Linked DNA regions of Xenopus tropicalis. The protein of the gene in region 1 interacts with the protein of each later gene in a pairwise test. Links are inferred from orthologs where the notes say so. Each region holds a gene or a part of one and is shown in the gene's direction. Other genes may lie near its edges. The genes, in order: cdc5l, crnkl1, akap6, akap9, myt1l, sfr1 and exoc7.

Region 1 (4,079 bases):
TTGGGTTTATTTATTGGTTAAATGATTCCCTTTTCTCTGTAATAATAAAACAGTACCTGTACTTGATCCCAACTAAGATATAATTACCCCTTATTGGGGCAGAACAGCCCTATTGGGTTTATTTCAATGGTTAAATGATTCCCTTTTCTCTGTAATAATAAAACAGTACCTGTACTTGATCCCAACTAAGATATAATTACCCCTTATTGGGGGCAGAACAGCCCTATTGGGTTTATTTAATGGTTACATGATTCCCTTTTCTCTGTAATAATAAAACAGTACCTGTACTTGATCCCAACTAAGATATAATTACCCCTTATTGGGGGCAGAACAGCCCTATTGGGTTTATTTCATGGTTAAATGATTCCCTTTTCTCTGTAATAATAAAACAGTACCTGTACTTGATCCCAACTAAGATATAATTACCCCTTATTGGGGCAGAACAGCCCTATTGGGTTTATTTAATGGTTAAATGATTCCCTTTTCTCTGTAATAATAAAACAGTACCTGTACTTGATCCCAACTAAGATATAATTATCCCTTATTGGGGGCAGAACAGCCCTATTTGGTTTATTTAATGGTTAAATGATTCCCTTTTCTCTGTTATAATAAAACGGTAACTTGTACTTGATCCCAACTAAGATATAATTACCCCTATTGGGGGCAGAACAGCCCTATTGGGTTTATTTAATGGTTAAATGATTCCCTTTTCTCTGTAATAATAAAACAATACCTGTACTTGATCCCAACTAAGATATAATTACCCCTTATTGGGGGCAGAACAGCCCTATTGGGTTTATTTAATGGTTAATTGATTCCCTTTTCTCTGTAATAATAAAACAATACCTGTACTTGATCCCAACTAAGATATAATTACCCCTTATTGGGGCAGAACAGCCCTATTGGGTTTATTTAATGGTTAAATGGTTTTAAGCAGACGTAAGTTATGGAGATTCAAATTACAGAAAGATCCCTTATCAGGAAAACCCCAGGTCCTAAGCATTCTGAATAACAGGTCCTAAACCTCTACCATATTAGCCATTGAAATAGCCTGGGTGCTTCCAAAGCTTGCAATGTTTACTTACTCAGGTGACTTAACTAATAAAGGGTATCTCCTAACCTTACCTTTACCACTTTTACAATTACTTCACACTATTGCAGCTGATAAACTACAACTCCCATAATGCCTCTCCTCTCTCTTGCCAGGGAATTCCTCTCACTTGCCGGGGAATTCTGGTAAATGTTGTTCCGCTACCGCTAAGGGCGCAGTTGTTCCGCATGCAATGCTAACCTCCAGCCACCAGAGGCCGCTGTGGGGAGTTACTGTATGTTCGCTATGCGCTGTGACTAGCAGTAGAGCGGCGGGCACGCTGGTGTGTGTGCGCGTCACTTTGCACAACAAGCCGGAGGCCGCTTTCCCCGTTTCTCTCCTTGCTACACCGTGCGGGCCCGGGGCCCCTAACCAGCAGCCAGGATGCCGCGAATTATGATAAAAGGCGGGGTGTGGCGGAACACCGAGGTGAGAGGGGTTATGGCGTTGTGTAGCGGCTCAATGAACTCACATGGGCGCCTTGATATTTCCAACAGGGGATTCTGGGAGTTGTTGTTCACAGGGTCCCAGCTTGTGCTTTGGCCTTTTCCCTGTTAGTGTTTCAGGATTGTAAAGCTGACCAATTGCACAGGAGTATTTGAGTGAAGCTGAGCTGCTTAATTATAGGAAATAATAGTGTAATTTAGGTGCAGGTAACTAGTTCAATGTGCCTCTATGGCCTGTAGAGAAAGCCAATATAGGTGGGCCAACTTATACTACAACTCCCAGCATCCCATTGCTCGCCAGATTGTTTTGTGATCGAATTCCAACCAAGGTGTGTTTTCCTATAGCAACGAATCAGCAGATTGCATTGGTTGTCAATTGGTTGCTATGGACTGCAGCCACTGGGGGTTATGCCTTAGCTATTTGCATTATAGTCTCAGTCTTCATTTTTAATGTGGGGTTTTTATTTTAAATGATTAAGCTGTTTGTTCAGCAGCTCTCCAATTTTGAATTTCATCTGCTATCTGGTTGCTAGGGTCCACTTCATCCTAGCAGCTAAGCAGTGGTGTGGAAGGTGAATAGAAGAATGGTCTAAATAGAAAAGTAATATAAAGTAAAAAAAAATAAAATTGGGCTCAGTGCCCTACGTTTTGAAAGATGGATAGGGACAGAGGGGAAGGGAAATCCATCAAAACCTTTAAAAAAAAAAAAAAAAAAAAAAAAATATATATATATATATATGCATTTTGCTTCATACTAAGATACCCCTGTACCCTATGTCTCCCTCACTTCTCATGTGTGGTGTTGATATACTATAACGCACTTTCCTCTTTATTTTCTCAGGATGAAATCCTCAAAGCGGCTGTTATGAAATATGGGAAAAACCAGTGGTCTCGTATTGCTTCCTTGCTGCACAGGAAATCGGCCAAACAGTGCAAAGCCCGATGGTACGTCCCGGCCATTATAGCCACGGGCCCGTAGCGTTCCATACGTTCCTGTTCTAATATGAAACCAGATAAACTGCCCCGCAACAGCTGGTATTCTGCATTGGTGGAAGGGGGGGGGGGTAAAGAGAATGGGCAAAGCAGGCATGGAAAGGGTTACACATGCACATAATGCACTGACAGTCTATCCATATTGTCTGTAATGAAGGGCATGGTCATGTGACTGAACATTGGGCTGTAAAGCTCTGCGTATATTGATGGCGCTATATAAATAATGATAATTTGGGTTACACCTAGAAATGCACCTTGAAGAAATGTGTATACATACATGTAGCAATATGTATTGCTACAATACATACATACATACCTACCTACATACATACCTATGTACATGCATACATACCTATATACATACATATTGATATATTAGCCCAATATTGCACCCTGAAAACATTTAGGAAATTGTTTCAGTGTGTAATCTTCTGCTATGAGCATTTAAAGTATTTTAAGTTTTTTAAAAAGTAAACATAATTTCAAGCAGTATATATCAATTAAAAGTATGCAGCCTTTTCATGGTTTTTAATGTAATAATATGGTTTGGAACAGTTCCCTAAGCCCCGCCCCCTGTTCCCCTGCTGATCTGGCTGGCTACTTTGTGACTCAAATAAAATGTAACAGTAGTCGCCTGTCCCCAGCCTGCCTTCAGCCTTCATCCTCCCAATCCCACAATCCCCTGCTGCACACGTGATGTCAATAAGGAAAGGAACATCCTAGTGCAATGCATTGTGGGTTATGTAGTTCCTGCATGCTGTCTGTAAGCTGTGGAGAAGTTGTTACAATCTGTAACATCAGTGTTTTAGTCCCTTCTCCCCTGCCAGGATTTCAAATGATGCAGAAAGAGAAGGACTGTTTTGCAGCTGGATTTCAGCATATAAAAATGGTATTTATTTTTACTTTTTGACGGAACAGATTTCAGTGATAGGTATATTAGGGATTTCTGTGTTGTGTGGGGCTCTTTAACAAAAAACAGAGTGATATCACAGTCAAATTAAGTTCCATGCTTTCACTTAGATTTGTTGGCAGACAAGCTAACAATTACCAAGTGCCCTTCTGAATATCTGTAGTAACATTGGTTGCTAAATTCGTTTAATGTCTCTGTGACAGGTATGAATGGCTTGACCCAAGCATCAAAAAGACAGAATGGTCCCGAGAAGAAGAGGAGAAACTACTTCATCTGGCCAAGCTGATGCCAACTCAGTGGAGGACAATCGCTCCTATCATAGGAAGAACAGCCGCCCAGTGCCTTGAGCACTATGAATATTTACTGTACGTACCATTCATTCTGAAAATGTACATTTGAATTGTTGTTGAGCAGTTTGAACAGTTGTTTTCTGATACAGCAGTGTGAATACGTTCCCATTCTATCAGGCAAGAAGTAACTGTACCCTTAACCAGAAGAGGAATTTGATATGGGTTTTTTTCTTAATCGCTATTGTGTCCTTTGCTTGTTTTTACCCCATACTGAGGTATAGTTTACCAGCCCAAACCTGATTATTAGGGATTCTGACCATAGCATTTGCTAGTTAAAGGACCAGTAATTT
Region 2 (3,500 bases), about 110 Mb from region 1:
GATAACATTAGGAAGAACAGGACGGTTATTAGTAACTGGATAAAATATGCACAATGGGAGGAAAGTCTAAAGGAAATTCAGAGGTATTCACTTTTTTAATTAAATTGGCATAGATGGCTTAAAATTAAATTTACGCTTATTAATGATTTGAATTTTTTTTCTTGCTTTTAGGGCACGGTCTATATACGAACGTGCTTTAGATGTGGATTACAGAAATATTACACTATGGCTGAAGTATGCAGAGATGGAGATGAAGAGCCGCCAGGTTAATCATGCACGAAATATCTGGGACAGAGCAATCACTACCCTACCCAGGGTCAATCAGTTCTGGTAGGTTTGTCACTTTTCAAAGGAAAGACTATGCTGATTTATACATATAGGTAACCAAAAATAATTAGAAATATATGGAGTTATGGGGGTAACTTTTTAGTAAAGGATTTTGTGTTATAGGAGTGCTGCAACTTAAGGTCGATAATCCCTATGTACAATGTAGATAATATGTAGCTTGTTTCTGTCGTGATTTTATGTCCTTTAGAAAATTGATTGTGCTGTAGCATAAGAAATGTTTTGACCTTCGAGTAATAAAAGACAGTGCTTTGATGTTTGAAGGTACAAGTATACCTATATGGAAGAGATGCTCGGAAATGTGGCTGGAACGCGGCAGGTTTTTGAACGTTGGATGGAGTGGCAACCTGAGGAGCAAGCTTGGCATTCTTACATCAACTTTGAGCTCAGATACAAAGAGGTGGACCGGGCCAGGTCTATTTATGAGAGATATATCCTTTGTGTATAAATGTGATAAGTTACTATGTTAAGAAATTCTTTAGAGTGGGTGCTGTGATGTACAATAATGCCAACATTGCAACTAAAACCTATTTAGGGTTCAAGGGTTTCCGATATGCGATCCCTTACCTGTACAAAGTAAAAACATAAATATCACAGAAAATTTGATTCTTTAACATCTGTGTACTTGTAATTGTGCACCCTGATGTGAAGAACTGGATCAAATATGCTCGCTTTGAAGAGAAGCACGGTTATATTGCCCACGCACGAAAAGTTTATGAAAGGTCCGTGGAATTCTTCGGGGAAGATCACATGGATGAAAACCTGTATGTTTCATTTGCTAAATTTGAAGAGCATCAAAAAGAAGTGAGTTTTAATTTACTTTAGCCAAGCTGTGTTATTTTAAACTGTATTAAATTGGGAGACATCAATGGGAGCACATTTAATGAATTTGTCAAGGCTCTGTATATGTCAGTAATTGACCCTAGCAACTGTTTTCAGCTCCTTATCTTCTCCCTTTCCTGTGAGGTTAGATGTAGCTACTACTGTCTTATTGCATTAGAATAGGTTTAAAATCAAGTTTCTCTACATAAAAATGTGTTTACTCTTCCAATTTGTTTTAATTCTAAAAACTGCCACATTCCCAACAAACGGGTGAAATAGAATGTAATTTAGGTCCAAGGAGACCAGCCTGGGATGATGATGTGCTGTTTGTCATCTGGTGATAGAAGATGCAGATGACATCTGTAACTGTGTTAAAGTTCCAACAGGATTACATCCTATTCAGCATGTTTATTGTTCTCTACACAGTTTGAAAGAGTCCGTGTCATCTATAAATATGCTTTGGACAGAATATCAAAGCAACAGGCCCAAGAGTTATTCAAGAATTACACTATTTTTGAGAAGAAATATGGTGACCGGAGAGGTATTGAAGATATTATAGTCAACAAACGGAGGTTCCAGTATGAAGAAGAAGTAAAGGTAAGGGAGCAATATTTTATGCAACACAGAAAACACAACTAGGAGTAAGCTTGCAAAGACTAAAGCTATTTAGTTGACCAGGGTCAAGTAGGCTATACACGTACTTATAGTACTTAAACCAATTTAGGGTGGTTCTAGGCATTTGAACTGTTTTTAGTCTGTTTACTGCTAGATAATGTTGTTAGGAACTCTATTCTAGCAACGGAGCAATGTGTGTATAGTTTTAAGTAGATTTAACCGATTGCCTGCCATAGATCAAATAATCTTAAGTGCCAGCAGTCAAGAAGCTGACCTCAAACACTACAGATTTTTCTTTTCTTGATGTGTGTGACTGGCAACATGCCGCAGGTTAATTGCTTTTGAAAGTGACCGACCGACTTGCCCCTCTATCATTACTTTTATGGTGATAGTAAATCAGTACCCAAACACTGCTCTGCCCATAAGTTTAATGTGAAAGATCAGTTTAGCACACATGGCCCACAGTAAATAGAAATACTGACTGGCACCACAAAACTGTTTTGTTTTTTTTTGTTTTTTTAACATGTTTCTTATGGCATAACCTGAACAGTAGTCCTTGGGTAGTTTCCATTTCTTTGCATATTACAGTATATAAATTATTTTGAGCTTGCATAGTTTTTCTAGTCTGCACTGCACTATTTTTTGTATAGGATAGAAACAGAATAGGAAGTAACAAACACTTGTGCTGTCCGAATGTTTGTGACACAATGAAATGAGCTTTAAATATGTTCGTAATGAATAACACAGCTGCAGTTGGTCACATCTCATGCCAGAAGAGCAATTCAGCAATAGGTAACAAAATGGCACAAGATGGAGAAATCACTTGATAAATATACAAATGTCTTTCTCCCCAGGCAAATCCTCATAATTACGATGCTTGGTTTGATTATCTGCGGCTGGTTGAAAGTGATGCTGATCCTGACACAGTTCGAGAAGTTTATGAACGGGCTATTGCCAATGTCCCACCTACAAAGGAGAAGAGACACTGGAAGAGATACATTTATCTGTGGATAAACTATGCCTTGTATGAGGAGCTAGAAGCAAAGGTGAAAAAAATTGTAATCCACAAGAAACTCTTGTAACTGTGTAATAACCTAGCATCCTGCGCGCACCAGACATTCTTTGTCTGCATATTTACATTGAATTACACTGCACATTTTTGCCCGCTAGATGGCAGTTGTGTGTCAGACATCTCTTAATGCAGAAAACAGTCTGAAAAACATAGATCATATACACTTTATAAAGTGTGATTATTATGACTGGATCTGTTGCATTTCCTTTTATAAAAGCAGCGTGTTATAGGAAAAAAAGGAATAACCCTAAACCAAACCAAATTTTTTTTCACTTAGCTAATGGACAGATTTTAATGGTTTTTTTACATACTTTGAATTTCAGGACCCAGAGAGAACAAGGCAAGTCTACCAGGCCTGCTTAGAACTAATCCCTCACAAAAAAGTAAGAGTCTTTGTAATTGTTTGTTTTCCATGAGCCTTATGTCATTTTACGAACTAAATTCTAGTCCTAAATTTGAGGATTTGCCTGTAGCTAGGCAGAACAGCCCACTCTTCAGCCGCTGTGCACAACACCAGGTAGGGGTGAATGCTGATCTGCCTCACGTGATAGTAATGATCTCTGCACAGGAGTGAGAGATTTTGTTGTTTTAATTATGTCTTCAGCCATCTTGAATTTTAACTTAAAATATTAGGGCTCTTACTGCT
Region 3 (4,004 bases), on another chromosome or scaffold:
ATCTAAAGGCGGCCATACACGGTAAGATCTGCTCGCTTGGCGAGGATCTTCTCCCGACATGCCCAACTACTAGACTAATTTAGTCTTTGGGACCTAGGGACGAACAATCAAATTAAAATGGCGGCTATAGGCGGGGACCGCATCAACAAACTGATGCAGCCCCTGATCTGACAGAAAAATCGAACCTTTCCCAACGGAAGAATCAAACCTGTCCGATTGAGATCTGTCCAATTCAGGCCATATGTCGATTGTGGAGGCCTGTCGTTGGTGCCCATCCATGGCATATAAGCTTCCAAATCGCTCTAAAGGACCAATATCGGCAGCTGAAATTGGCCCATTTACTTTATATTCCCCTCAGCACCCTGGACAGAGACCCTTTGCACTGTGTCACTATTATTTATCCTGTGTAAAGTGTTTGCAGGTCCATTGTATTCTACTAAGAACAAAAGAAACACAAGAAATGATAAGAGCTAATGGCCCATGTTTCTTTACATTGAATGTATGGTTTCTCCATTCAGCACATTCTAGAAAATACAGGCTGTCATTTATGGGGTCTGGCAATTTAATGTATACAAACAGTATGTATAGGCAGGAGCAAAAGCAGAGACTGCACAGCCTGCGCTCACAGGGGCCTGCTGAGACTGCTTCTCCCATGACTATTATGTGCCTTGGGCAGGTTAGTCAAGAGTTAATGGCATTCCTGCCTTTTTGTAAATGATGACAAAGTCTTTGGTAATGAGCTCCTTATCACAGAATTAGCTCAGATCTAATAATGGAGCCAGCAGCATCCTTCCTGCCTAGTCATACGCCCTCATTCTGAATAACGCAGCACCTATTTTTTAGCTCACCCCTTTTATTTGAGTGCTTTTGCCACTCGATTCACTTCTGCTGCCAGCTGTCAGGTCATTGTGTTCTGAATGGTTAAGGAAGCAGCAGTAGCATCCCTTTATTGTGGGATTGCATCTGGGCATCCTGATATTTATAGTTTAATCTCTGTACCACTTTACATGGCACCACCCTTTTTTTTAATGTGTTCCCATACAATTGATTTTCATGACTGGCAGCCCAGCAGTGAGAAGGTTAAATGCTGGTCTCAGGTTACATCCCATCATCCCAAGGATTAACCGTCCTCCCACCCCTTTTCTCTCCATCACATCCCAGGTTTCCACGGCAACTGCAACCCTAATGAGCAGCATCATCTGAGTCGATCTCGCAGCATCATACAGCGGGTCACAGGAACAGCCGCTCTCCGCCCAAAGCCTCAGACGCAGCGTGCGCAGCCCGAGAGGAGGTGAGTTCTTCCAAGACCATGGGCCGATCCTGGAGAGTATGTTGTGATGGATGCAGGTTGCTCTGACTATCTTGCCGGAGCCCACTGAGGAGTGGTACCCACCCGGTAGCCTAGGGAGAATGGGAGGAGGATGAATACAATACATACAGGCCCATGATATGCAGACTAGGAGACAAAGGCCTCTGTCAAAGGAAACAGACAGGCATGTATAGAGCACAATATTCTCTCTCACACACACAAACATATATATATAGAACACAAGCACATATCTGTTCTCTTACCTCTCTCATACTCTACTTCTCTCTCTCTATGTATATACACACACACACCAACATATATACATATTCCAGTGGGAGAATTTCTTGCTTACAGTTCAGTTCCTGTGTGTGCATATAAATATAAATATATATATATTTAAATACACACATGCACAAGCATACCACTTATTTCTATATATACGTGTGATCATGTTCCCTTACTTGGTATTTATTATGATCCCTGTTATAGTAAACGTCAGTGCCTAATAAAGATCTCACGATCATGTGTAAACGTAAACAATGTTTATTGATCAGTTCTAGAGGCACTGAGAATGTTGTTTTAATCATGGATCCACAAGAATGCCTACTACAATACTACAAAGCATATTTAATTGTCAAAGTTACAAACTACAGTGTATATAGATATGTGCTGTACATCTGCATGGAGGAATGAATTTAAATGCTATGGAAAAGGCTACCTTACTGGAGTCTAAGGGGTACCCTAGTCCAGTTGGTGCCCTCTGAATTCTTATTTACTTATTTGGGTATCAATGTGTTTATATGTCTGTGACCTTGTTATGAGCTAAGGGGGTCCAACCATATGGTTGACCAGAACCAAAAAATCCTAAAGACACTGCTTTAACAGCCAACAAAAAGAAGTTGAACTGGAATAAATTATTTAGGGAAAGGGACTCATTTAGGGAAAGGCTCTGTCTCAGAAAATGTGCACTCTAGATATGCCATTATAATTATTTTCCCAGGGGAGCTCATGATTAATGGCACATACTTGTAGGAAACAGAACACGAGTCACAAGGCAGACACACAAATAACCTACACACTGCATGTCCACTGGGTATGTATTGGCAACACAACAATCAGTATATTTCTTTGCCTCTTTGAGTAAATAAGCTGCAAGGCCTTACTGCATTGATTTACCACTTCAACTACCTAAATATATCCAGCCTGTGGCCTTCCAGCTGAACTACAACTCTCAGAAACCCTTTCAATTATCAGGGAGTACATAGTTTGGACACCCCTGAGCTAACAGCTATCTTGGTATATAATATTCATTGCCTTTCCAAGCACCATCTTAGAAAAAAAATCCATTATACTTATAGGTAAAAATGGGCAAATGACACAAATGACAGATGTAACCCCAGGTAATAGAATGCAGCAATACAGTCTTTCAAGCCATTATCCCTTCTTTTTATGGTGTTGAGATGCTGGACAAGATGCAGTATTTACTATAATTTTATGCCTAGCCATATGTCTGTGTTCCGTTCTTATGAAGTGTAAGTAATTTGCCAGGCATTGTGTTATGTCATGTGTGGTGTTGTGCTATAATAGTAGCAGGCAGAGATTGCCTTTCATTGCATTGTGGCCTCCGTAGTTCTGCTGGCCATAGGGCGTTCCCCTTAAAGCTCTGAATTAAAGGGCCGGATCAGTTTGGCTTGCTCTCAGTATTGATTTTCCCTCTCCCTCTGCGGAGCTGGGGTGTAGAAAAAAAGCTTCCTGATACGAAGGGGCAGGCGAGAATAGGATCCCACCCTGGGGATCCCTTTCACTCCCTTTCAGATGTGCTAAGAATCCCTCTGCAGAATGTGTAACTCCTTTGTTGTGCAATGTATTAGAATGTTACCTTACTATTTCCTAATGTTTTTTTTCTGCTAAATGTGCAACTGTTGCAGCTAATGCTTTTTTATGTATTTACTATTTTTCTTGTGGCAGCAGCCTAAATAGTGTTTGATTTATATCCTGGGGAAGAAAGGGTCAGACTGACCTGCCAAAGTACCAGAGCATTCCTGGTGGGCTCTGGTCAAGGACTATTTTCATCAACCCTTAGTTATTTCCACCGCAGATCTATATGAAACCTTTACATGTAGCACTGTCTACATCTAAGGAGTAATTAACTTTGTCCTCAGAGGTGAGTGGAAGAGGGCTAAGTGGCACCTTAAGTCCAGAGTCTGGCCTCCCTCTGTGCCTAGTTCTTGATGGGAAATGTAGTGCATACAGAGCTCTGCTGTAGACTGCACTCACCAGCACTCCCTAACTTTAATGAGGTAATTAGGGAAATTAGGAAATGGATAAGGTATGGGAGAGGGAATGTCTCTCCCTGCCCACCCCTCATCAATACAGCACTATCACATGCAGGGGAAATGCAGGTCTCTGAACTCTGTTTTGTGTATATTTTTCAATGTGCAGGGTGGAAAGTGCAATTACCATGGGGGATTGTGTTTTTGCACTTTGCATCTTGCACTACACTAAAGTAAATTGTGCCCCAAATTGTGTGAGTGAGCCCTAAGTGACAAGGGCTCTGGTATGGCCTAAAGGTGCCCATACATGGGCCGATTGTAGCTGGCAATATCGGGTCCCTTAGACCGATTCGGCAGCTTATCGGCCCGTGTAGGGGCACAAACGACGGGCCTGGACTGAAATTGGGCAGGTTAAAAAATTT
Region 4 (4,170 bases), on another chromosome or scaffold:
CAACAACACTATACATTGGCACCAATAGGTCTTTGCACAACTATAAGGTTGATTAGCATTTTTTAAAATTTGCACTATAAGTTTGATTGAGGTGTGTTTACTAATCAGAATTGAGAAATTACTACACTACATATATATTTTTTTCTCTCTTTCTTTCTTTACCTCTTTTCTCTCTTCTTTCTTTGCTCTTTTTCTTCCCTTCCCTGCACATTTGCACCGGTTCACAGCATTAATAAGACTGCTACCATCCCCTCGATGTCTAAATACATTCGGTTTCTGTAACCCTTTTATTGAAAGTGATAAAGCTACCAACTGTAAACGGAACTTAAACACTGTTTTTCAGTAAAATGTATTCTCACTGTAAGCACACTGCCTCCAGTATCTGCATATTTGTATTTATACCCATGAGTAATTACTGCAATATTGCTTGTCAACAATAGCAACAGTAACCATAGTGGTCATACGCAGATCTCTTTTCTGTAGAGCTACTTCTGAGTTCAAGCCCATCACATATGGGATAATTCTTTATGTTTACCTTAATGGAACATAATATGAAGCCTCCTACAAACACTAGCTAAAAAATACGCTTTGATGCTATATACAAAGGTACTTGAACCCATAAACACTCCTTTGCATCTTGAAAAGAACACCAGTGTGCCCATTCAACCTGTTCTGACTCTGCACAAATGAACTGTACAAAATAATTCCAGGGTTCTCTTATAGGTTTTGTGAGCTAAATTACTATGAGCTAAAATTCCTCCTCATACAGCGATCACATATTGCTTTGTCAGAGGGGCCCACTGGGAGTTCTGGGAGTGCTCAAATAACTGGAATGTAAGAGGTGGGTAGAGACATCATCAATAAATACAGTTCAGATAGAGTAAGTACCGTTGCATTAAAGTAGTTCTGGTAAGAGTAATGGTACCTATATGATGCACCATATTCACAGCAGGGATTGGCCCTTGCTAAATGTTTTCAATGCAAAAACATTAGATGATTGGTTTGCATTGTAAACCAACAGCAATAACAGAGCATAAAGGTAAACTTGACAGATGTGTCTTTGTCTAACCTCAACTACTATATATCCAAAGTCATGCTATTGTTATAGTATACCATTTAAATTTTAGAGACAAAATAACTTTTTTAAGTAATAATTACAATTTAAAGAAAATATTACACTTAAATACCACGTTGTAAGAAAAGATTTCTCATTATAAGGACATGTGCTGGTTAAGTATAGCTCACATGCTAGATTGTCTTTGTTCTGTCTGTTTTGCACACAATGCCTTGGTGTGGGCAGTGCCCCTTTAAGTGTCTGGGAACTGCAGCAGCGCAACAGCAGCTGTCAACTCCTAGTTCTGCCACTGCTGCAATCGGTGCCGCCCCCACTGACTTCTCTCGCCGCTGCCGGGCGCTGGGGTGACGTCAGAGGAGTGCGCCGAATGTTTACGTGGAGATGGGAGAGAGCGGTAGGCGCTGTAGCTAACGCTGCGCATTGCTGTGTGTGTCTGTACAGGCGCAGGCATGGAGGAGGAGGACCAGGAGAGGAAGAGGAAGCTGGAGGCCGGCAAGGCTAAGGTAAGGGAATGTGGGGAGGCTTTGTGTCTGTGTGTGTGTCTCCCTCTGACAGCTGTCACTGGGGAAGGGGGGCTTCCATTGTTTGCATATTCCTGGCGTGCTGTGTCTGTGCGAGCTGTCCCGCCGCCCTGTTTGTCTGGGTGCCACCCTGCCATTCTGATGTGTCTATGTCACTGGCTCCATGTGTCACCTTCCAACCTCCTGTGTGTGTGTATGGCACCTTACAGCATTCTGTCCATGTGTCACCTTCCAACCTCCTGTGTGTGTGTATGGCACCTTACAGCATTCTGTCCATGTGTCACCTTCCAACCTCCTGTGTGTGTGTATGGCACCTTACAGCATTCTGTCCATGTGTCACCTTCCAACCTCCTGTGTGTGTGTATGGCACCTTACAGCATTCTGTCCATGTGTCACCATCCAACCTCCTGTGTGTGTGTATGGCACCTTACAGCATTCTGTCCATGTGTCACCTTCCAACCTCCTGTGTGTGTGTATGGCACCTTACAGCATTCTGTCCATGTGTCACCTTCCAACCTCCTGTGTGTGTGTATGGCACCTTGCAGCATTCTGTCCATGTGTCACCATCCAACCTCCTGTGTGTGTGTATGGCACCTTACAGCATTCTGTCCATGTGTCACCATCCAACCTCCTGTGTGTGTGTATGGCACCTTACAGCATTCTGTCCATGTGTCACCTTCCAACCTCCTGTGTGTGTGTATGGCACCTTACAGCATTCTGTCCATGTGTCACCTTCCAACCTCCTGTGTGTGTGTATGGCACCTTACAGCATTCTGTCCATGTGTCACCATCCAACCTCCTGTGTGTGTGTATGGCACCTTACAGCATTCTGTCCATGTGTCACCATCCAACCTCCTGTGTGTGTGTATGGCACCTTACAGCATTCTGTCCATGTGTCACCATCCAACCTCCTGTGTGTGTATGGCACCTTACAGCATTCTGTCCATGTGTCACCATCCAACCTCCTGTGTGTGTGCATGGCACCTTACAGCATTCTGTCCATGTGTCACTATCCAACCTCCTGTGTGTGTATGGCACCTTACAGCATTCTGTCCATGTGTCACCATCCAACCTCCTGTGTGTGTGTATGGCACCTTACAGCATTCTGTCCATGTGTCACCTTCCAACCTCCTGTGTGTGTGTATGGCACCTTACAGCATTCTGTCCATGTGTCACTATCCAACCTCCTTTGTGTGTGTATGGCACCTTACAGCATTCTGTCCTTGTGTCACCATCCAACCTCCTGTGTGTGTGTATGGCACCTTACAGCATTCTGTCCATGTGTCACCATCCAACCGCCTGTGTGTGTATGGCACCTTACAGCATTCTGTCCATGTGTCACCATCCAACCTCCTGTGTGTGCATGGCACCTTACAGCATTCTGTCCATGTGTCACTATGCCTTGCCATTAGCCACATTGTGCACATGTCACCCAAACATTCTACCTATGAGCCACCTTGTGCATGTATCACTCTATGTACCCTGGGGCCTTGTACCATTCCCTTCACTTGTGCATGTCTCTGTGCATCATTGTGGTACTTGCTTCACATCACTTTGCTGCTTGGTGCAACTGGTTTCTTGTGTCTCTGTGTGCTTTTGGTGTGTCTGGATCCTGTTTGCCTATTATGTTAAGTGCAGTGTATGTTTCACTTTGTGGTATTATATGTTTGTGTGCAGCTTCTGTGTCAGTATGTGCACAAAATGATACACATTCAGTGGAATACTTAATAGTTTTTAAACCCTCAACTATACAAATTGACTTCTATTTAGAATGTGTATCGTGCTTAAATCACTTTTTTTATCGGTGTTAATTTTACATGTATACCATGGGTAAGTGTTGTAGGGTGCGTAATTGTGTATCTGTTGAAGAGAAATACTTAAAAATAAACACACATTTATACCCACATATATGCCAAATGGCAGGTACATAGAATGTATGTGTACTTAAATAACTTTTTTCATTGGTGTAAGGTTTTTTGCATGCCATGGATTAGTGTTGTAGTGTGTGCATACAGAATATAGGTGCGAGTGTATGTACTTGTGTGTCTGTTTTCTTCCTATTTAGGTATACTTTTAATCAAGACACATTTATACCCACAACTGTATAAAATGGCTTGTATTTGGAAAGTGTATTTTGCTTAAATCACTTTTTCCATTGGTGTCAATTTCACATGTATACCATGGGTTACTGTTGTAGTGTTTGCATTCTGAATATAAATATGTGTATTTTTTCTTGCTGCAGAGCAACACATACCCACAGCTGTATAAAATAGTATATATTTTTGCATTGTGCATAAAGCACCCATGTCTATGCCAGGAGTTAGTGTGTGTGTGTGTGTGCCCATAAACAGTGCATGTTATTGCATGTCAGTGTAACAATAAATTATGCTCCCATATTTACCGTTTACTGCTTTCTGTGCTTCTTGGGTTAAATGCCTGTTTTTATTCGCTGAAAGTGTTGTGTATTCAGTGCAGCTACTTTGTAACACTGTATAGTTGTGCATATTTGCTAAAAGGACAATGTGTATGTGTTTTACGAAAGCATAAATCGTATATAGCCCTTCTCCTTTTTTA
Region 5 (3,500 bases), about 14 Mb from region 1:
CATGAGCATCAGGTCCCTCAATACTGGCACAGAAATAAGATTTTGGCAGGATTCAAAGCTTGCCTTAATAACAGTTACCACAAAATGGTGCCTGTCTGCTTGCTGCAACTGTGAATTCCAGGGCTGAAGAAAATAAGATTCAACTAATTTATATGGTGTAAGTGAAGTTTATTTTGCTTGGCAAACACAATTGAAAACAATCTGGAATTATTTCTTAGGGTGACAGGTCCCCTTTAGCAGTAGTCTAACTTCCTAACATTCTATTTCCACCCTCTTGTTTACCCTTGTTTAGCCACAGCATTAATTCCAAGGCAACTGTATCTCCCAGTTTTGCCCTAGCTATGATCAGGAGTTGAAACTGGAACGTTCCTGCTTAGACCACATGTTTGTTATTGTTATATAAAATGACTGACTTTATTTATCTTTGTTTCAACGAAATGACCAAGTAAGAAACTGCAACATTATTCAAAATTAAAAAAAAAAAAATGTGTTGCCCAAAATGATTAAAAATCATTGTCATCAAAACCTCTTTCAAAAGCCAGCACTAACAATGCTTTGTGTGGTGCATGTGCATGACATGTCCAAGTTACATCATTATGTGACGCATGTGGGCGCATCCGTAATTTCGTAAATACCGTTTTCTGTGGCCACATGTTCATGTTGGCTGCATGGTATTCATCAACCAAGACATCAACTCTATATATTAATAGTCTAGAAAAAAAAATCAAATACATGGAGGCTAAGGGTGAGGATGAGAACCAGCTTGTTACCATCTGTTATTCCCCAGTGTTACATTCAATTGTGTGGCACTATATACGTGAAACTGGAATGAATTATAGTAGAATCTTTTACTTATAAATATGTTTCTTCGACAAACATTAACCGTTCCAACGAAATGAATTTTTTGGATGATGATATTATCCTGGGAAATTGTCTAAAGACACTGAGATTCTTTAAGTCAAATGCGGAATGATGTTTTTTTTTTGTTTGCTCTTATTTATTTTAGAATCTAGTAATTCTGATTTTACAATAAAAAGAGGTGGAATTTAAACACAAACATCACTGAAGGGTATCTGAAAAGGAAAATAAATCAAATGGCATTCTATTTTCAATGCTGAGCAGGGCTGGATGGCATAGAAGTTAGACCAGCCATAAGGCTATTCTAACAGTTCATCTAGTATCTCCAAAACGTTTCTAATTGATACACAATAACGCAAAAAAAAAAAACAAACGAATTGCTGAGTGATGTTAACACATCAAAATATAAACCAAGGAGTACAAACAAGGCCCCAGTATCAAGGGGAGTCACAGCAAATTTTCAAAAAACTCCATGGATAAAATTAAAAAAAAACTTCTATTAATCCATCATCTAAAATATATAAACTCAGCCTAATTTATACACATACATTGTTTGCTCATCGGAATCAGTTCCACCTCTTTTGCCTCATTCTCTGCCCCCTTTTCAGCTTCTGCTCCCTCCCACTAGGTACTGGACGAGCGCCCTGTTGCTTGCCAAGAACCCTGTGTTGATGAATACCAATTTCATGTAAGTTACACGGGAGGGGAGGTTGTGTGGTTTTTCCATGTAACTTACACGAAATTCAGCCTTTGAAGAATAAAAGTTATTCATAAACAGTCCATGAGTTTGTTCTTTTTATATATCAGCTAGATCAGTATCCCTCAATATCACTATAGACTATTAGAAGATTATAACTTAGCAGATTCACTTTTAATCCTGTCCAATGTGTCTGGAAGCCATTTTTGAAAGGGCATGTGTTGTCCACACACCCCAGGCTGGACAGGACTGATATAGGATGAGCATTAGAACATAGATACAGTTCTCGTTCATGTAAATGAAAGATAGTAAAATAAATGTCTGTTAACAGAACTAGAAGAGTACAGTTAATGTTTCACATAGTATTAACACAAAAAAGAATGATTACCTACAAAAGTAGCATAAAGTACTTTCCTCCTGTATAGCCAGCAATATTATTTTATAAATATTACAGACAAAATTTTTAGATAATTTGATAATGTTTGAAGATGAGGCATCACATGGATATAAAAAATGTAATGGATATTTTAACCTTAGGAGGTAATTGCTATAATTAGTGATAATTACTGTCATTGCTAAATGCAGTTGAAGGGGGAATAATTAGAGTGTTAAATAGATAAAAGTAAAGTCTAGCAAATTCTATCCAACCCCCTTCAGATTTAAAAACAGGGACCATTTTCTGTTTGTGGTAGGAAAGTTGACAAGATTTTTGTTTCATTTCAAGGTGTTGTTTATTATAAGGCCATCTTTCTAAGTAACAGCCACACACTCAAAATTCAACTACACGCCACTGCACATACTACACTCATACAAGTTTAGCTCAGAATTGTTTACGTCCCCCCAAAATGCACTCGTATATAAAAGTAAGCTAAAGTCACACTACAGGATTAGCCATTGGGGTTATCTGACAGGTAGCTGTAGATCCACACTCTGTATAACAAGCATTAATCAAGGCTTGTAACAATTATTTTCCATCGGAATCTCCTTTACCCAAAAGCATGTTCACATAAGTTAACAAATAATTAGACATCACACATTTACATTTGCATTAATGGTCATTTTTTACTAAACGCATGCTGTTATAACTATTGTTATATTATTTTTTGCACATATTGGCACTTTTTAGATTACCACCATGGAGAGCAACCTGAAGACAATTGAGGAAGAGAATAAAGCAATCGAACAGCAAAATGAGTCTCTTCTTCATGAGCTGGCCAATCTGAGCCAGTCTTTAATTAACAGTCTAGCTAATATCCAGCTGCCCCACATGGTAAGTAGTATAGTGTAGTATCATTACCTATGTATCTGCTGTCAAAATATTCATCTATATGCCTATTATTTTATACATTATTTTCTCAACATTTACAACATTCTGATGTTGTGACTTAACACATCAGATAATTTGATGATACTTTGAAACAATAAAGCTCTTGATGGAATTCCACATGCATTTTATTTTGACTTCTTGCTAATTGATTCATCATTTATTAAAACACAATTACTGTATTTGTTTGTTTGAGTTAAAGACTGCAGCTATAGACATCAAGAACTATAGTATAAAAATAACAATCAGGGCTGCCTATGTGGAAGCCTTCTAGCTAAATGTGTCTCTCTAAGGATATTTTGTGGTTCCCAACCTGCCCATTAGTAATATAATGTAATTGTGTGGAATTATAGTTTTAATATAAGTTCCTGGTCTGTGGTAGGAGGGGGTAATAAGGAATAATTAGTAATAAACACATTTTTTCACCAGGCATGGAAATTCCGCAATTTTCATTTCCTGGCGAAAAATTTCGCCCATCGCTACTGTTGACTTAAATGCATTTGACGTATATTTTTCTCTGTTTCACAAATTTTGTAGCAGTTTCCCAAATTTTTCAACAAAGCAAAATGGGACAAATTCACTAATCCCTAGGAATAATCACAGGAATACATGAGGAGTTGA
Region 6 (4,088 bases), on another chromosome or scaffold:
GAACATGAAGGCAAAGTGCTCCAATGGAAAGTCTTGTGCATTTTCTAAAGAAGAGGGGTACAGTGCTGTGACTGTCAGCGTATATTCCTCATTGGTAATTAAAGCTTATTTTCCCCATATTTAGCTTCTGGCCAGAATGCTCTGCTTCCTGAGCCCACGTTGCACCTACCCTTAAACCAGGATCTCCCAGAAACACATTACAGGAACATCTAATGACAAGAGGCCTCATTGTACTCTTTTGCACCATGCCCTGCATTTTCAAGGGTAGGTGGGGGAAACACATAAAAATCACCCCCATACAGCCAAAGAGAAAGAGAGCAGACACCTTGAAATCCATTTTTCAAAAACACAGACTTTTTTTAATTTTGAAATTTCACATGGGGCTAGCCATATTCTTCATTTCCCAGGGTGCTCCAGTCATGTGACCTGTGCTCTCATAAACTTCATTCACACTTTACTGCTAAGCTGCAAGTTTGAGTGATATCCCCCCCCCCCCCCCAGATGAACAATGGGAAGGGAGCAAGATAGCAGCTTCTAGTAGATATCAGAATAGCACTCAATAGTAAGAAATCCAAGTCCGGCTTGGGACTCCTCCAGTTACATGGGAGTAGGAGAAACAATAGGTTAGCTGAAAGCAGTTCCAATGTGTAACGCTGGCTCCTTCTGAAAGCTCCGACTCAGGCACAATGCACTGAGATGGCGCCTACACACCAATATTACAGCTAAAAAAATATATTTTGTTGGTAGAGTGAATAATTTGCTATGTAAACAGTGTAATTTAGAAATAAAAATGATGACAGAAACTGTGAGAGAGGCTGTAAATGTGTGGGGGTTTTCTCTGGACATAAGGCACTTGAAAGGGGACTTTATTATTTATAAGTACATTACAGGACATTAGAGACGGATAGAAAGGAAGGGGGGGGTTCATAGAAAAGATGGGCCCATTGCCTCACCTGTATGTACATGGGCTAAATAAAACCCTTTTTACTGAGCAAAAACTACTAGAGTGCCACAGGATTTTCTGCATAAAAGAGGGAAAGGTGCGACCCCAACCTGTCAGCTCCTGCCCCCCTCCCACGCTTTATCAGCACTACAGGGAACCCATTGCAGCAAAGTCTGTTTTGTCTTGCCCCTCCCCCTTTCAATAACTCGCAATAAACTGAGCAGATCAATAAATACACTACAGTAGGTACGGGCTTCACTTCTACTTCCGGGTTTAGCCATTTCCCCGCCCAATGGGAGGAGACTTTTGCACGGAACTCTGGGAGAGGAGCCTTTACGCACATGCGTCGGGCTAGTCTATAAGCAACCAATGGGATCGCAGAGGAGGGGAAAGCAATAGTAGCCCGCCTTCTTTTACATGGAGGTAAACAGAACGCAGAGAGTTTGTAGGCGGGAAGTAAGGAAGGTATGTGCGGCTGTGTGTGTGTGTGTGCGGCTCTGTGTGCGGCTCGGTATTGCGACTTGGTTTATTAGGTTTGGCCGAGTGAATAACTTGATCTTTCTTCCCTTAACCTGGCGGTGCCTGGATTTCACCCTCATCCCCGGCTCCTCATATATACACTGTGAGAGAATGATGGTTGCCTCTCTGACATGTCTGCTAAAACGTCCCTGTATTAGTTACTTAAGCTAAATACAGATAAGTCCCCGGTATCATTGATTAATATGATGTCCTTCGATGTACCGTTTATTCTTGGAAATTGGATATGATGATATAATACATGAGGCATGCACATTACATAGAAATAGTGAGCAATACAGGGGGGTAGTTGGTTCTGCTCATTAGAGTTTACAATACAAAAGGGCTATGAGGTACAGTGTGTAGGGACAGGGAAGACCAGGCATCAGTCAGAGTAATGTATATTACAGTTATTGAGGGGCACAATATGATAATAGTAATAGAGAATCACAATATGGCATACAGGGAGCTGGCATCCAATGGAAAACTGCCAGTGCAAACTTGCCTGTCACCGCTACTAATTGGAATGGAAAAGAAATGGAAAGTGGCTTCCACTAAGGGCAAATAGGCACTCGGGAATCTCCACAGGGGTCACAAAGTTTTAAAGTAAAAAGACTTTTTATTAAAAGTTGCATTAAACATCTTCATAAACCCCACGCGTCTCATGCCCTAGGGGACTTAGTCATGGGCCAAATGGAAAGTGCCCCCGGCAGATGCAGACCAAGTGCCGAAAGACCAGACTTCAGTGCTTGTGTGCAGGCTAACAGGTGTTGCTGAACCCCGGTGAATTTGTTTGCTATCCCCTCAGGCCGCCATTTTACTTCCCTCCCCGGTATCACTTGTTTGGCTTTGCACACTAGCAGCAGAGTAACATATTCTGACTTAACTGTCCTGCACTTGCGCAAATGGAAGTCAGTGCTAGCGACGCCTGTGAAAGGTACTCAGAATGGTGGAAAGGCACTTGAACCGGTTCAGTCTTTTTCATAAAGGGAGTATTGCCTAGGGAAAAAAATAGTGATTGGATTTCTAACACATTAGCACACCCAATAACCTCAGATTCCCTTGTTCTTAAAACTGGATACAGTGGTAGACAAAAAGCCCCATGTACCATTAGCCTAACAGAGATAGGGATAAGATCATATTTTAGGTACAGACAACACTGTGTTGTGGTTTGTGCAAAAAAACCTAATTAAAGGCTTTTTGACTCTTTCAGCAGGGCCACTGTTTACACTTTGTGTTTTTTCACTTTGGGGTAATCTTCTGGGGAAAATTTTAGTATATTAAAATATGTATTTCTTTGTTTTTTTTTTTTTTTTGAGGACAAGAATCTGACTTTTACATATAAACATATTTTTCATATTGAAAAATTGATCAACACATTTTATGATATGGTTAAAAAGATACAAATGATTTGGAAAATAAATATAGATAGATGGAGATTTCTGACTTGTATAGACCAAAAAGTCATGGCTGTATAATACCTTATTTTCAAAGTACAGCCAGAGGTATATTTAGGTGTGGCAGTGCCATAGGCACCAGTCCTCTGCCCAGTCATCACATGGACTTGCAAAAGATAGGGGAAGCTTTTTCTTATGTAGGCTCACAATGGCGTCTCCCCTAAGCACTGGCCTTCTTGTGCCTATATAAAAAATGTGGCCGTGTCCAGTACACCTGAAGCTGACATAGCTTAAATTGCAAGAACCAAACAAGTAATTTAACTTGAGGAAAAAAGGAATTTAGGTTGAGGAAAATGCTATATTTCTTAAATGTACACATTCTAACAAATTCTAAAATGTATGCATAACCTTATTTATAAAGTGCTACTAGGATACAGGTAAAAATATATTGTAAAAATGTACAATATAGAAAAGTACACAGGGAGAACAAACATAATAAATAAGTATAAGACATTAAGGGGCCGATTCGCATGCTTCTTTGCGTTAAAAAGCACACAATAAATAAGTACTGATTAATCAAAGTCGCATATCGCATGCGCAAAAAAACGCACTATTGCATGCATTATTTACCTCGCATTGCGTTAATTCTCGCATAGATATAATACTAGCGCATGAGTCACAAACACATATAAAGCATTAAATGCGCTAAATATCGCATTAGTCTGTGCGAAAATTAACACCTATTTGGGGCAGGCAGTACTTAAAGAAAATTGTGGTTCGTGAGCTTTTAGCAACACAACATGGACTTTGCAGTGGGATTTTTTCAAGTATGTGTTGGCCCTAAAGTGATGCATCCTCCAATTTTCAGGGAAATGGTCATTTTCAGAAAAGTAGTTTTCCGAAAGTAATGGTTACGTGCGTAAAATTGTGCGCTAATATAGCAAGCAGGCGAAAATATATCACGCAGCGGGAAATAACGCACGTGGCGGGAATTAATGCAAAATGCTTGTTCTTTGCGTTAAAATGCTTAAAAGTCTTAATTATGACGCCTGTCCTTTTAGTGAATCGTGCGTTAAGTCGCAAAAAATAAGAAGCGATAAAATTTTTACCGCATGCTATAAATAGTGCTCGTTTTAACGCACTTTAGTGAATCAACCGCTAAGTGTCACGAGGAAGTCCCTGCCCCATAAAGCCCACAGTCTCTCTGTGTCAAACCATATATTTGCAAAGCT
Region 7 (4,042 bases), on another chromosome or scaffold:
TGCCTGACCTGTCTCCTTGCCTGACCTGTCTCCTTGCCTGACCTGTCTCTTTGCCTGTCTCCTTGCCTGACCTGTCTCCTTGCCTGACCTGTCTCGTCTCCTTGCCTGACCTGTCTCCTTGCCTGACCTGTCTCTTTGCCTGACCTGTCTCCTTGCCTGACCTGTCTCTTTGCCTGACCTGTCTCCTTGCCTGACCTGTCTCTTTGCCTGACCTGTCTCTTTGCCTGACCTGTTTCCTTGCCTGACCTGTCTCTTTGCCTGACCTGTCTCTTTGCCTGACCTGTCTCCTTGCCTGACCTGTCTCTTTGCCTGACCTGTCTCTTTGCCTGACCTGTCTCCTTGCCTGACCTGTCTCTTTGCCTGACCTGTCTCCTTGCCTGACCTGTCTCTTTGCCTGACCTGTCTCTTTGCCTGACCTGTCTCCTTGCCTGACCTGTCTCTTTGCCTGTCTCCTTGCCTGACCTGTCTCTTTGCCTGTCTCCTTGCCTGACCTGTCTCCTTGCCTGACCTGTCTCTTTGCCTGACCTGTCTCCTTGCCTGACCTGTCTCTTTGCCTGACCTGTCTCCTTGCCTGACCTGTCTCTTTGCCTGACCTGTCTCCTTGCCTGACCTGTCTCTTTGCCTGACCTGTCTCCTTGCCTGACCTGTCTCCTTGCCTGACCTGTCTCTTTGCCTGTCTCCTTGCCTGACCTGTCTCTTTGCCTGACCTGTCTCTCCCAGCTGACTTGCATGTAGGAATGGAAGTCCTTTACATACAAAATGCATTAGTGATAACCTGTATCTCAAAGACTGTCTCACCAAGAGTCTTTCATGACTGAACATGAGTCTCATTTACTCATTTACTATACATGAACGTATATATTGGCCATTTTCCTCACAAAGCATATATGCTATAGCTTTTCCCAAGCGTCTTCTTTTAAAATGTCGGCCTTATATACCGCGTCATAAAAGTATTCAGTCTATTAAATATACATGTTGTTCTTAGAAATCTCCCCCCCATAAGTCATACTCTCATTTAATCACGACCTCAGTTAGTCGGCACAACTTCAACATGACTCAAATATGGCGCCTTAATTTGCCACCTCCAACATGGCGCCCCGTCCGCCGATTTCCAACTCCAATATGGCGCCGCGTTCTGAATGCTCCAATATGGCGGCCGCTCATTGGCTGAACGAGAGAAGCGTTTCCGGGCGGAAGTGAAGCATGTTGACATCTGATGTCAGAATCCGAAAGGAAGGGCGGAGGAGTTGAACCTAAAATATTTGGATATTAGCTGCAAATAATTTCTTAAGAAAAAATGATCCCCTCGGAGGATAGCTCCGCCAGGAAGAAGACTATAGAGGAAAAGCTTAAGCAGGTATTTTGTTTTGTTATTAAATCTCACATTAATGTGTGTCTGTCTGTCTATATTGTCTTTTACTATAAATGTCTTTCACTCTATCATCTATCTTTCTCCTATTCACTATTTATATATCTATCATGTCTTTTACTCTATCTATCTATCTATCTATCTATCTATCTATCTATCTATCATCTAACTTTCTATCTATCATCTATCTATGTATGTATCTATGTACCTATCTATTTATCTATCTATCTATCATCTATCTATGTATCTATCTATCTATCTATCTATTTATCTATCTATCATCTATCTATGTATGTATCTATGTACCTATCTATCTATCTATCTATCTATCTATCTATCTATCTATCATGTCTTATACGCTAAATGTCTCTATCTCACTCTGTCATCTATCTTTCACTCACTCACTCTATCTTTCTCCTATTCACTATCTATATATCTATCATGTCTTTTACTCTATCTATCTATCATGTATCTATCTATGTATCTATCTATCTATCTATCTATCATCTATCATGTCTTTTACGCTAAATGTCTTTCTCTCACTCTATCATCTATTTTTCACTCACTCACTCTATCTTTCTCCTATTCACTACCTATATGTCATGTCTTTTACTCTATCTATCTGTCTATATATCAGTCTTGGCCTGTAATTCAAAGACACTGGAGCGAGGTACTTCAATACATTAATGAGAAATTAGCTCTTTCGCTCCCCTAAACTATGCTTACTGGGAATAACAGGAGCCCTACAGCTCCGGTCTGACTCCAGGATGTGCTATTTACAATTGTTATATGATGCTAAAAAGGCAAAGCTAATGCAATGGAAATCTCTTGATCCCCCTGCTACAATACTGGCGAAAATTAGTAGATGATACACTTACCTATCTAGCACGAGGCTGCCTGGGAAAATTTGACGCTATATGGGACACTTGGTTAAACATATAAAATGTCTGACTATATATAAACTTGATTCTGTCAAAGTACACTAAACGCACTTGCCTCACCTTAGTTTTCTCCTAGCTTCTCTCTCTTACTCTGTAATTGTTTAAATATTTGTTTGAAAATTTCAAAATAAAAACTTTAAAAAAATAAATACATTTGCTACTCATTCAGAACTGATAGTGATGAAAAGCTGCTGAGAGAATGGATGTAAAGAGGAAATGAGAAAAAGAATGAAAATGGAAAACAGAAAGGGAGGAGCACATAACTGAAAAAAATAAAGGACTCACACAATGTATAACTGTTACAGAAAAAAAATTGTCTTTGATATGTGCGGGTTTTATACATGTCCCAAAGCTCACTTCCAACAGACATTTCCCTTTATCTTCCATGTTGTAGGAAGAGGAAACCTTAGCCTTCATCAAGGAGAGCCTGGAGAAGAGCGATCAGCTGACAAACAATATGGTGAGTGTAGCTATTAATATGGTGCTGGGAGTGTCGCTGTGCCCTAAGCTGATTTAGCATTGAAACACCTGTACAAGAATGGTGCTGGGGCAGTGGGGCAGTAGTGTAAGTGCTTCTGCCAGGGTGATTGTAAGCGGATATGTGGCTGCTGATAGAACAGTACAGTGCCCACAGGTGGGGGTATCCATAACAGAAAAATGGTTACATTATATCACCAATTGGCACAGTGTGACCTATGGCTTTCTCTTCAAGACATAAACACTTCCCACTAAGCCTCTATTTCTTTCTTTCTATCCCTTACACAGGTCTCCATCCTGTCTTCTTTTGAGAGTCGGCTGATGAAACTAGAGAATTCCATTATTCCCGTGCACAAACAAACAGAGACCCTGCAGCGGCTGCAGGAAAATGTCGATCGTACCCTGTCCTGCTTGGACCATGTCATCAGCTACTACCATGTTGCCACGGAAACTGAGCGCATCATCAAAGAAGGGTAATTTGTATTGAATTGCATAATAATACGGATATTCGTTCTAGGGCTTTCAACCTACTTGTTTGTATAGTGCAAGGGATAATGCCTTTGCTGCGTAAGGCACGCAGTTGAAAGCCGCCAGTATCTGGTAGAGATGTGTGTTTTCTTTCAGACCCTCGGGAAGGCTAGAGGAATACCTGGGCTGCATTGCAAAAATCCAGAAGGCTGTGGAATATTTTCAAGACAACAACCCAGACAGCCCTGAGTTAAACAGAGTGGTAAGTTCTTTGACACCCTGGAAGTGGTCCATTATATGTTTCACCATTATATGTTTCACCGCTTAGCTTGCAGCCTTTACCATAAAATATTTTTTTGCCGGTTCTATAGTAAGGACGGTGCTTACTAGTGTGGATGTCATGGTTTTCTTTTGCCTGTATTCTCGTAGAAATCCCTGTTCGAGAGGGGGAAGGAGTCTTTGGATACTGAGTTCCGGAGTCTCCTGCAGAGATACAGCAAACCGGTGCCCCCCATCCTCATTCTAGACCTGATTGGAACAGAGGAGGAGCTGGAGGGCCAGGAGGAGGCTGTTCTAGAACACCTACCTGAGGGAATCCTGCAGGATGTCATACGCATCTCTAAATGGCTGGTGGAGTACGGGAGGAACCAGGGTGAGAAGTTGGGTCACTCTTAGAACAGCAAACCCAAAACCTCCAACATCTCTCACTGCTCAACACCTACAAGTCCATATTCACTTCCCTTTGTCTCACTTCATTTGTTTCTCATTCTTAACCCCACCTGCGATC

Evidence for each region.
Region 2: the proteins of cdc5l (region 1) and crnkl1 interact in a two-hybrid assay, tested with the Homo sapiens proteins (2 studies listed by IntAct). The link is inferred for Xenopus tropicalis from reciprocal best matches to the Homo sapiens genes CDC5L and CRNKL1.
Region 3: the proteins of cdc5l (region 1) and akap6 interact in a two-hybrid assay, tested with the Homo sapiens proteins (2 studies listed by BioGRID and IntAct). The link is inferred for Xenopus tropicalis from reciprocal best matches to the Homo sapiens genes CDC5L and AKAP6.
Region 4: the proteins of cdc5l (region 1) and akap9 interact in a two-hybrid assay, tested with the Homo sapiens proteins (2 studies listed by BioGRID and IntAct). The link is inferred for Xenopus tropicalis from reciprocal best matches to the Homo sapiens genes CDC5L and AKAP9.
Region 5: the proteins of cdc5l (region 1) and myt1l interact in a two-hybrid assay, tested with the Homo sapiens proteins (2 studies listed by BioGRID and IntAct). The link is inferred for Xenopus tropicalis from reciprocal best matches to the Homo sapiens genes CDC5L and MYT1L.
Region 6: the proteins of cdc5l (region 1) and sfr1 interact in a two-hybrid assay, tested with the Homo sapiens proteins (2 studies listed by BioGRID and IntAct). The link is inferred for Xenopus tropicalis from reciprocal best matches to the Homo sapiens genes CDC5L and SFR1.
Region 7: the proteins of cdc5l (region 1) and exoc7 interact in a two-hybrid assay, tested with the Homo sapiens proteins (2 studies listed by BioGRID and IntAct). The link is inferred for Xenopus tropicalis from reciprocal best matches to the Homo sapiens genes CDC5L and EXOC7.

The regions. Positions count from the first base shown.
Region 1 is NC_030681.2:148,162,113-148,166,191, reverse strand, and holds the start of cdc5l (cell division cycle 5-like protein), read left to right. Parts: upstream 1-1,279; 5' UTR 1,280-1,474; coding exon 1,475-1,519; intron 1,520-2,377; coding exon 2,378-2,481; intron 2,482-3,642; coding exon 3,643-3,804; intron 3,805-4,079.
Region 2 is NC_030681.2:36,930,659-36,934,158, forward strand, and holds part of crnkl1 (crooked neck-like protein 1), read left to right. Parts: coding exon 1-83; intron 84-171; coding exon 172-330; intron 331-609; coding exon 610-776; intron 777-970; coding exon 971-1,149; intron 1,150-1,593; coding exon 1,594-1,764; intron 1,765-2,636; coding exon 2,637-2,828; intron 2,829-3,177; coding exon 3,178-3,237; intron 3,238-3,500. UniProt on the Homo sapiens protein: Involved in pre-mRNA splicing process. As a component of the minor spliceosome, involved in the splicing of U12-type introns in pre-mRNAs.
Region 3 is NC_030684.2:113,436,969-113,440,972, forward strand, and holds the start of akap6 (A-kinase anchor protein 6), read left to right. Parts: upstream 1-1,204; 5' UTR 1,205-1,291; intron 1,292-4,004. UniProt on the Homo sapiens protein: Binds to type II regulatory subunits of protein kinase A and anchors/targets them to the nuclear membrane or sarcoplasmic reticulum. May act as an adapter for assembling multiprotein complexes.
Region 4 is NC_030682.2:31,455,244-31,459,413, forward strand, and holds the start of akap9 (A-kinase anchor protein 9), read left to right. Parts: upstream 1-1,370; 5' UTR 1,371-1,524; coding exon 1,525-1,578; intron 1,579-4,170. UniProt on the Homo sapiens protein: Scaffolding protein that assembles several protein kinases and phosphatases on the centrosome and Golgi apparatus. Required to maintain the integrity of the Golgi apparatus. Required for microtubule nucleation at the cis-side of the Golgi apparatus.
Region 5 is NC_030681.2:134,540,656-134,544,155, reverse strand, and holds part of myt1l (myelin transcription factor 1-like protein), read left to right. Parts: intron 1-1,486; coding exon 1,487-1,546; intron 1,547-2,681; coding exon 2,682-2,825; intron 2,826-3,500. UniProt on the Homo sapiens protein: Transcription factor that plays a key role in neuronal differentiation by specifically repressing expression of non-neuronal genes during neuron differentiation.
Region 6 is NC_030683.2:27,812,626-27,816,713, reverse strand, and holds the start of sfr1 (swi5-dependent recombination DNA repair protein 1 homolog), read left to right. Parts: upstream 1-1,288; 5' UTR 1,289-1,366; exon of another isoform or gene 1,367-1,408; intron 1,409-4,088. UniProt on the Homo sapiens protein: Component of the SWI5-SFR1 complex, a complex required for double-strand break repair via homologous recombination. Acts as a transcriptional modulator for ESR1.
Region 7 is NC_030686.2:45,042,354-45,046,395, reverse strand, and holds the start of exoc7 (exocyst complex component 7), read left to right. Parts: upstream 1-1,242; 5' UTR 1,243-1,297; coding exon 1,298-1,357; intron 1,358-2,704; coding exon 2,705-2,770; intron 2,771-3,075; coding exon 3,076-3,260; intron 3,261-3,411; coding exon 3,412-3,517; intron 3,518-3,684; coding exon 3,685-3,907; intron 3,908-4,042. UniProt on the Homo sapiens protein: Component of the exocyst complex involved in the docking of exocytic vesicles with fusion sites on the plasma membrane.